Saccharomyces cerevisiae S288C: one gene and its partner. Changing the gene in region 1 together with any one later gene gives a genetic interaction. Each region holds a gene or a part of one and is shown on either strand. Other genes may lie near its edges.

The links. A genetic interaction does not mean that the proteins touch.
Region 2: mutations in GRX8 (region 1) and CUL3 together harm fitness more than expected from each alone (negative genetic interaction), as found in Saccharomyces cerevisiae (one large-scale study listed by BioGRID).

Annotation. Positions count from the first base shown.
Region 1 is NC_001144.5:852,441-854,891, forward strand, and holds GRX8 (glutathione-disulfide reductase GRX8), read left to right. Parts: upstream 1-1,621; coding exon 1,622-1,951; downstream 1,952-2,451. Other genes in the region: NMD4 (Nmd4p), read right to left, coding at 55-711; YLR363W-A (uncharacterized protein), read left to right, coding at 1,021-1,278. UniProt on the Saccharomyces cerevisiae protein: Glutathione-dependent oxidoreductase with lower activity compared to the other members of the glutaredoxin family.
Region 2 is NC_001139.9:498,067-505,437, reverse strand, and holds CUL3 (cullin CUL3), read right to left. Parts: upstream 5,307-7,371; coding exon 3,072-5,306; downstream 1-3,071. Other genes in the region: transcription factor IIF subunit TFG2, read left to right, coding at 1-781; PEX31 (peroxisome biogenesis protein), read right to left, coding at 1,112-2,500; SWC4 (Swc4p), read left to right, coding at 5,532-6,962. UniProt on the Saccharomyces cerevisiae protein: As part of the CRL3 E3 ubiquitin ligase complex; polyubiquitylates monoubiquitylated RNA polymerase II subunit RPO21 to trigger its proteolysis; plays a role in global genomic repair.

The DNA.
Region 1 (2,451 bases):
AAGATAAAGCCATCTATCAAAAATGATATTGAAATATTTGAAAAATGCTTGTTTTTATGGGGACCACAATTCGCCTGTACCTCTAGAAGCGTAAACTGTTTTATTGAAGTTAGTCCTGATAATTTCTCTACCGTTTTCGCTTTCTTCCTTAGTGCCATTTTTTAGCATCATATTATTGAATTTTTCACTTTCTCTAAATGATTTATCATTCATGTCCTTGGACAAGATTGAATCTACATCAACAATTGAACAGGAAGGAATATTGCATTGCATGGCCATTTCCCGGATTTGAGGATCTTCACTAATTAAAAACCAATGTAGCCCCTCATTTCCTTCTAGGTAGCATTTGTAAATACAACTTTTCAACAAATTCTTTAATCTCTTAGGCAATTTTGCAATATTAATCTTTCCAGAACTATCATTATGTTCCATTACATCTGACCATAAAATAATGTCTAAAACTTCGGGAAATTCGATAAAAACTTTCAAATTAGCAAATTTAGAATCATCTAATCTATCGATAAACTTCAAGGATTCTCGAGCTGCAAAACTTTTACGCCTTTGTTGAAGGAAATCCAATTCATTTAATGTGAATGTTGGAATATAAAAGTTCAAAGTCACAGCTTCTGTACAGTCCGAGCACCACCTCTTGATGTTGCCTAGACCCTTTTCAAAAGCTGAAGCATCTATAATGAAATTATATTGTGTCATTAACCTGCTTTTTGAGGAGACCAAAATTGGAAAGAAAGAAGGTGCTTATATTTCACGAATGAATGATATTAGCAGGTGTAATATTCTTCTATAACACCACTACACTAACTTTTAAATTAAAGCGCTCTTCATTGTTACTTCAAATCAATTTCTGAGATTATGAAAGTCGTCACGTTTTACGAAGGTATTGAATTTTTCAGGTTCTTTTGGAAAATAGTAGTATACATCAGTTTATTAACGATGAGATGGTATTATTACTTGCACCTTTTGTAAAGATAACTAGTATTCATAAAGTCCATAAGCTACAATATGCCTCAAAAACCACTTAAAGTTACTAAGAAAGCCAAGGACCCCCGTAGGGTCACAAAGAAACAAAAAAATTTGAGAAAAGCTGCCCCATTGCAATTGAAATCAAAAAAGAAATCTTTGCAACATCTGAAGAAATTGAAAAAGAGCTCTTCCCTTACCGAAACCACTGAAAGATTAGTTGCGAGTAAAGTCGGGCATTTGGAGTTGTTGAGAGGTACTAGAAAGGAGTTGGAAAAAGGTAAGAAGAACTCTAAATGATTTCAAGTGAATAAGATTCGCCCATCATTGAAAGGTATTTATTTTCGGGTAAGGACTATCTAGGTACATCTCATCAAATTTTTTATAGTCCAATTTGATCCTAGTGTTTGTATATTAGCTTTGTAACTTCTAAGTTATCCAATAGAAAAAATGCGTTGCTTTTTTGTTTCCCGCGAGAAATTTAACAATATGGTGAATTAAGTGTTGATGCCACAGTTTGTAAAAAAAATCGACACAGGTTTGCTATTTAAGCAGACGTAAGTGTTGTAAAATTATGTATTCCCAGTTTGGCCAGAAGAGGAGTAAATATCGCATATTTATAGAATAAGTACAACATCAAATAATGTCTGCCTTTGTTACTAAAGCTGAAGAGATGATCAAATCTCATCCATATTTCCAGTTATCCGCCAGCTGGTGCCCCGACTGCGTCTATGCTAATTCCATTTGGAATAAGTTGAATGTACAGGACAAAGTTTTCGTTTTTGATATTGGTTCACTTCCAAGAAACGAACAGGAAAAATGGAGAATTGCGTTCCAAAAAGTTGTTGGTAGCAGAAACTTACCAACGATAGTTGTCAATGGTAAATTCTGGGGTACTGAGAGTCAATTGCATAGATTTGAAGCAAAAGGCACTCTTGAGGAGGAATTGACTAAAATCGGGCTTCTGCCTTGAACAGGTTGGATATTTTTATATTAATATGTACGTAATATGTCTGGAATATTTCGAAAACACGGGTAAGCAAATAAAGGCCTCCCATTCTTCCTTCTATAGAAGCGTGAGCGCTTCCTCATTAACCTCTTCTTTAGCAGTCCATATGTAAAGATATCCAAGAGATTGTTCCCATAAAACGTTGACGCTAAGCACCTTCATCAGTGTCATATAGAAAGACAGCGCTCCAAGCACCATTTCCGTTTTCTTTCATTTTGGAATGGTTAAATAATGACTATCTATGATAGTTTAAAAATACCAATATCATAGAAGATGAAAGTCAAATATATGACTAAAAATTTAGGTGAAAAATGTAATTTAATGTATACCTTTCATTTACAAAATGTCAAAGACTTTACACAGTCTCCGCGTCAAATTATCACATGAATGTACAATCACTTTTCTGACTGCTCTAAGCTATGTCATTGCGATGCAGAATTTCACTGCCGCATAGACAATTTTGT
Region 2 (7,371 bases), on another chromosome or scaffold:
GAAATATCAACAACGTAAAAAGGAGTTGGAAGCAGATCCTGAAAAGCAAAGGCAAGCTTACCTGAAGAAGCAAGAACGTGAAGAGGAACTTAAGAAGAAGCAGCAGCAGCAAAAACGTAGAAATAATAGAAAAAAGTTTAATCACAGAGTTATGACAGATAGGGATGGTAGAGATAGATATATACCATATGTGAAGACGATTCCCAAAAAAACCGCCATTGTGGGTACAGTTTGCCACGAATGTCAGGTTATGCCATCAATGAATGATCCTAATTATCACAAGATTGTTGAACAGAGAAGAAATATTGTCAAGCTTAATAATAAGGAAAGGATCACAACTTTGGATGAAACCGTTGGTGTTACGATGAGCCACACAGGTATGTCCATGAGGTCAGACAACTCGAATTTCTTGAAAGTGGGGCGTGAGAAGGCCAAGAGCAATATTAAATCTATTCGTATGCCAAAGAAGGAAATCTTGGATTACTTGTTCAAGTTATTTGATGAGTATGACTACTGGTCCTTGAAGGGGTTGAAGGAACGTACTAGGCAACCTGAAGCACATTTAAAGGAGTGTTTGGATAAAGTTGCCACTCTAGTGAAGAAGGGCCCATATGCATTCAAATACACTTTAAGGCCAGAGTATAAAAAGTTGAAAGAGGAGGAGAGAAAGGCAACCTTAGGTGAACTAGCTGATGAGCAAACAGGTTCCGCTGGAGACAATGCGCAAGGAGACGCGGAGGCTGACTTGGAAGATGAAATAGAAATGGAAGATGTCGTTTAGTTGACAATCAGATTTTCTTCATTAATTTTATATTTACGCAGTTTCTTGAGCCCTATATATACTCTTTTTAAAATTTACAGTTTTGTTTAATTTATTATGTCTCTATTAGTTTTGGCTATCTGTACATATGTATTTAGATGCATTGAAGTTCCGTAAAAGAATGCTTGCTGGAATAAGAGACTGATGGAGAACTTGCCATAACCGCGCAGATACTTTAAAGCACAAGATTGAATTTGTGCTCCATGCAGCCAATGAAAGAAACTCTGAGATTGCTGTGTGCCCTTGCACCGACCAGTGTGAACGTTGTTGTCCATATGGGGCATGCACTCATTATAGAGAAGGAGACATTGAAACATCAGATATTTGTATTAATTTGCTACTGTCCGAGGAAGGTATGATATGCACTTCATTTGCTGTACTAAATGACACTTTTCTTTTTCTAACTCTATTATTTTCTTCACTCTTCAGAGCATGAGAATTCGGTGTAGCTTTTTCTACAGTGGGCTCATCGTCATACGTTGTTGTTACTGTTGCAGTCCTGATCCACCTCCTTCTTCTTGTGTACTTTTTATATGTGTCCGTTGCAGAGGGATTATTCCAGGTGTTATCATAATATATGAAACCTTCATCTGCACCTGGCTTAACTTTTGTCTTAGCAGCAGAAGCAGGAAGTTGAATGATCCCATCATTTGTTAGGTCAAGCATCCAATCTTTATCGTGCCATTCCCAAGCCATTCCCGACTGCTCCTCTGGTAAAGTAAACACTTCTGGGCTTGGAGAAGTATTTAGGAATTCATCTGTCCAAGATGCGCGCTCATAACTCAACATAGTTGATGTCCATCCGATGCCAAGCCAGCGGCGCTGGTTTTCAAACAGAGCAACCTTGAAAAGTACAGTCTTTTTAGTGTTAGATGTGTTCCCTACCTCATTCCAAACAAAGGACCTTATTTTCTTATTGACAGAAGCAAACAAGCGCCTATTATTATCTGGTCCACCAAGGTCTAATCCTGTTATGAAAAATACAAGTAATCTAACAACGCGAAATTTCCACAAGTATCTTCTCATTCTTCGGATTAGTTTAGAATGGTACGTAAGCACATACAGACCCCCTATTAACATTAAATAGTTTGGAGATAGCACAAACACTGTTAGAAAAATATAAACTGGGGATAGGAAGGCAATGGTAAATAACAGTCTTCTAACATCCTGAGCGCTCAAAATCGTAATAGGAGATAACACAGCGCTAGATTTCATAGAAACCCTATCCATAACGTGTATTATATCATCCAATGAAGGGCAAGATGCCATTGTTTCTTGAACGTGCTTGTCAATTAAAAGATATACCCATATTATACCAACGATCATTAAATGTCCAAAATACCTTGTAATAAATCCAAAATATAGAACACAAACCGTAAATAAGAATATTCCAAGCAAGTTTGCAGAGACATTGTCATTGGACCAAGTGATGATACTTAGAAAGTTATCCACAACAATTAAATATGGGTATAACCTCACTAATGACCTGGAGACTGTTTTAGGTGTTGAAGTCAATAAAGGAGATGATAAAATAGCCTCTTGATCTTCCTCATAAGTTTGGGCGCTTAATTTACCTCTTCGTTTTCTTAAAGCGCTACGAATGTGTTTATTCTTGCTTTCTGTAGACTCAGCTACTGTACTTGAGGTTGGCTCTAGATTTTCATTATTTATTTCGCTCATACTATCAAATAAAGGGAAACCAAGGCTTGACAACCAGGGAAGAATACCAAATTTAAAAGTGCCGCTTTATTGATAATAATTTTGGTGAGCTTCTCTTATACCGTAAATTTCAACATATATTTTTCTACCAGGAAAAGTGAAATACGGCCGCTAAGCATCTGAAAAAAAAAAAAGAGCAAGGCGCTGCTATTGATAATAGTTCCTTTGAAGCAGTGCTACGCAGGTCTGAAAGGCTCGTAACTTTAACTTACTTAATGATTAAGAAAGAAATTATTTGACTCAACAAATTCCTAGAAGTTTTTTATAAAAATATAATGAGGCATAATAAACTTCAAGAGATATCGATTACCCACTCCACATTACATTCAAGTTTGACTGGGATATATAGTCTACCATAACTATGTTATTATATATTTTGAAAGTTTCACTAAGGAATGCAGGATGAACATTCAATTAGTATCGACGCATATCCTCTTAATATTGTTCGCTCTGGCAGCCGGATAGGAACTGCCATCTATATATACTGTTGGCATTCTGCAAACCTTATACCTGTGATTTTCATTATAAGCAATTAGGAAAGGTAATGGTAATAAGAGGGGTCATCTGCGTTTCTCTGGATGTATTCTTTCTCTATTAAAAGCTGAATGCTTCGTTTCAAAATGCTCGGTGTAAGACTGAGCCGAGACTGTGTCCGTTTCGTAGTTCTTTCAAGTAATTGCTGATGGCTTAGCTTACCTTCTGTTTTCATGATACGAACAATAATAGCACTAAGCTCCATAACAATTTCATTATCATAAGTGTCCACGGAACTTGCGGTTGCCAAATTATCTGATTTCTGAGATGGTAGAGGGCATGCAATAACCGGCACTTTCACTTTCCTGTTTGGAGAAGAAAAGAAATAATTAACTGAAAATTTCATATTTCCTGAACTGGATGATTTTTTCAAAATCTTACATCTGGGTATTGTCGACATTGACATTACAAGAGACTTAACGTCATCTATGGGAATATGAGTTAGTTCATATATTTCCCCCAACGTTAATTCTTCATAATCTTCAAATAGAAGGAAAATCACTCCAGCGTAAACAGAAAAACTTATTTCGTAGTAACCGCTATTAAATTGGCAGCCAATTTCAATTACACTTAGATGATGAGCCCACTTTAGCACTCTTTCTTTGTATTTTAAGCTGTAATAGCCCTCAAAGCCAGCTAAAATTTGTGACATTCTAGGAGGTAGTGAAATACCTTCATCAATTGGATTAGTACTCTGAAAGGGCCAGCTCGTTCTCGTCAAAACTTGTGGTGCAAAACTCAAATATTCTATGCTGTTGATTGTTGAGTGTTGGAATGCTTGATACATTTCAGAGGATAAAGATATATCTCGCAGCATTATCTCCAATTTTGAGGTAAAAAAAGTTCCTAGAACCTTCTTTATCATTTGCACCATCCATTTTTCAATTTCCACTAAAGACCTCTGCTGCAGTAATCTTCTGGAGAGTTGTTTTTTGTAAATCTTTTCAAATATATCCTTCTCAGTTAGGAGTCCGATTAATTTGGTACTATCAAGCAAATCTTGCTTGATCTTCACTATTTCAGCATCTTTTTCCTTGGTTCGTTTCATACAATGGTCCACGTAGGTAGAAAGATACTCAGATGGTAATGCTCCTTCTTTAGAGAAATACATTGAGAAAACATCGCCAAGTATTGCATTAGATACATCCCCGGTCAAATTATTAAGACGAACAGAACCAAAATCAATACTTTCCAAAAACGAGTGTTGACTGCGATATAGCTCTACAATTTCCGAAGACCAAGTAATCGCATTCTGCCCTTTTTTGCGGTTACCTTCATTAAAAGGAATATTTATGGCATTTTTATTGATGTAAGATTTAATAGATTCAATGACAGTAACGCGATATTTTTCCTCGCTTGACAAGTCATAAATTTCTTGGAGTAGCTTTCCATTTGAAATTACCATTGCTTCGTGCGTTAGATCTTCAATAATATCACTCAACTTTCCCCATATAAGGACATTTTCTAATACAGTCTTCAACTTATTATGAGAATCCACATTTAGAAAAGAGGAGTCTAGCATACTTTCAAACTGCCTTAACTTCCTAATCTTTTCCAGGCTCTCAATTGGCGTTAATAATTCAATATCAATAGCTTTATTGTAGTATTCTTCTGTCGCGCTAATCAAAACCGGCTCAAAATCGGTTAAGAAAAAACTATCTCTATTGTCATGTAATGTCTCCATCATTCCTATTAGTACTTTCCACAAACTAGTATGTTCGGAGTCGACAGATCCTAAATTACGAATCCTTTCTATATCAGATATCAGTGCTGAGATGAGAGAAGATGAGCATTTTTGCAATATTTCGATTCGGAAAAGATCGAGGCACATGTCGTATACCTCCATGCATCTATTTGGTTTGCAATAAACTTTGTCCATATACATCATTAAGTCTCCCGTTATTTTAAAACAATGGCATTGCACCTCCCATAACCGTGCCATAGTTCCAAGAAACTCATAATCATGAGTATTGTCCTTGACTATCGTTTCCCTCAAAAGCGCTAATTTTTGGATTAAATAATCTTTCAATCTGTTATAAAGTATTGGCCCCTTTTTATTTAAAACGATAGTATAAATGGTCTTGTACACTTGTTCGAAGGAAAGGTCGGCCATGTCATCGCTGTATATATGATCAATGGCATATTTAACTGTTTCCCAGGATTCCTCAAAAGATTCTTCTGACAAACCGAGTTTTTCTGGGACACTTATCTTTATTTTCTTATTAGTTATCATATAGTAGCCCTAATTTCAGATTTGAGTTAGCCCGTTTAGAGTATACTTTATATGAATCAGATTAGAATACGCACACTCGAACTTATTTAATGAAGTTGCGATGCGCCAACTCCGGGTAGCTATTTAGTGATAAATCAAGAATCCACTTTGTATTTTAATAGCAACAAGCATTCATAACATATTTCTCCGATAATACGAAAATTTAGTAAAAAAACCACAGGTAATATGTCATCATCAGACATCTTTGATGTACTAAACATTAAGCAAAAATCCAGAAGTCCAACTAATGGCCAGGTATCAGTGCCTTCGTCCTCGGCAGCCAACCGGCCCAAGCCTCAAGTGACGGGCATGCAAAGAGAACTATTTAACCTGCTAGGAGAGAACCAACCCCCCGTTGTTATTAAGTCTGGAAATAACTTTAAAGAAAAAATGCTTTCGACGTCCAAGCCATCTCCTTGGTCATTTGTAGAGTTCAAAGCTAATAACTCTGTGACTCTGCGTCATTGGGTCAAGGGTTCCAAAGAATTAATAGGAGACACACCAAAAGAATCGCCATATTCTAAGTTCAATCAGCATTTATCTATTCCATCATTCACCAAGGAGGAGTACGAGGCTTTTATGAATGAAAACGAAGGAACTCAAAAAAGCGTAGAAAGTGAAAAAAACCATAACGAAAACTTTACTAATGAAAAGAAGGATGAAAGTAAAAATAGCTGGTCTTTTGAAGAAATAGAATACCTGTTCAATCTCTGCAAAAAATACGATTTACGTTGGTTCCTGATCTTTGACAGATACAGTTATAATAATTCAAGAACACTTGAAGATCTCAAAGAAAAATTTTATTACACCTGTAGGAATTATTTTAAAGCAAGTGATCCTAGCAATCCGCTTTTATCTTCTTTGAATTTTTCAGCTGAAAAGGAGATAGAGAGAAAAAAGTATTTACAGCGTCTTCTTTCTCGTTCTGCAGCAGAAATTGCTGAAGAAGAGGCACTCGTAGTAGAGTCCAAAAAATTTGAAATGGCTGCCAAGAGAACACTTGCAGAAAGAGAATCATTACTCCGACTGTTGGACTCGCCACATTCAGATCAGACAATTACACAATACCTTACCTCTCAGGGAATGTCTCAGTTATATAACGCGCTTCTAGCAGATAAAACTAGAAAGCGGAAGCACGATTTGAACATCCCTGAAAATCCTTGGATGAAGCAGCAACAGCAGTTTGCCCAACATAGGCAACTTCAACAACTGAATGTAAAAAAGTCAGAAGTCAAGGAAAATCTCTCCCCCAAGAAAACCAAAAGACAAAGACAGGAAATGCAAACGGCGCTCAAAAGAAAGTCAGAAAGCGCATATGCAGAACAATTGCTGAAAGATTTCAATTCAGATGAAAGGAAGGCTTTAGGTGTGATTACGCATGGTGAGAAGCTATCGCCGGGTGTATACTTAAGATCTACAAAATTATCGACCTTCAAACCTGCGCTGCAGAACAAAATTCTCGCCATTCTTCAAGAATTATCGTTACCTTCTCGCCCTGTGATGCCCTCATTTGATGTAATGGAAAGACAAGAGGAGCTTTTGAAAAAAATCAATACGCTTATCGATTTAAAAAAACACGTTGACAAATACGAAGCTGGTATGTCAATCACCAAGTGAACATCAGAAAATGCTTTTTGCTAGCACGTATGTGATTAAAATTTTTGCGTAAAATAGACTGTTTTATAATATTTGGTGTACAACATGGGACCTTCAGAGGTACTTTCGGAAATCACGCAAATATTATGCACTAGTAACCCTCAATCTCTAAATAACTTATATTGTCATCTGTAAGGCAGCAAAATCCAAGATGGGCAATGTATATAGGTATATAGTTTAGTATTGTCATCTCATAGAATATCAACTGCATAATATACATGTATATATAATTTCCCATTCATTTAGAGGCTTCTTTTTTCGTCTGTATCGCTGAACCTTATGCCGGTTAAATCTAACAAAATTTTTTTGAACTGGAGGAACTAAAAAAAAAAATATTAATCTTGACTAATATACTAATCAGTCACTTTAC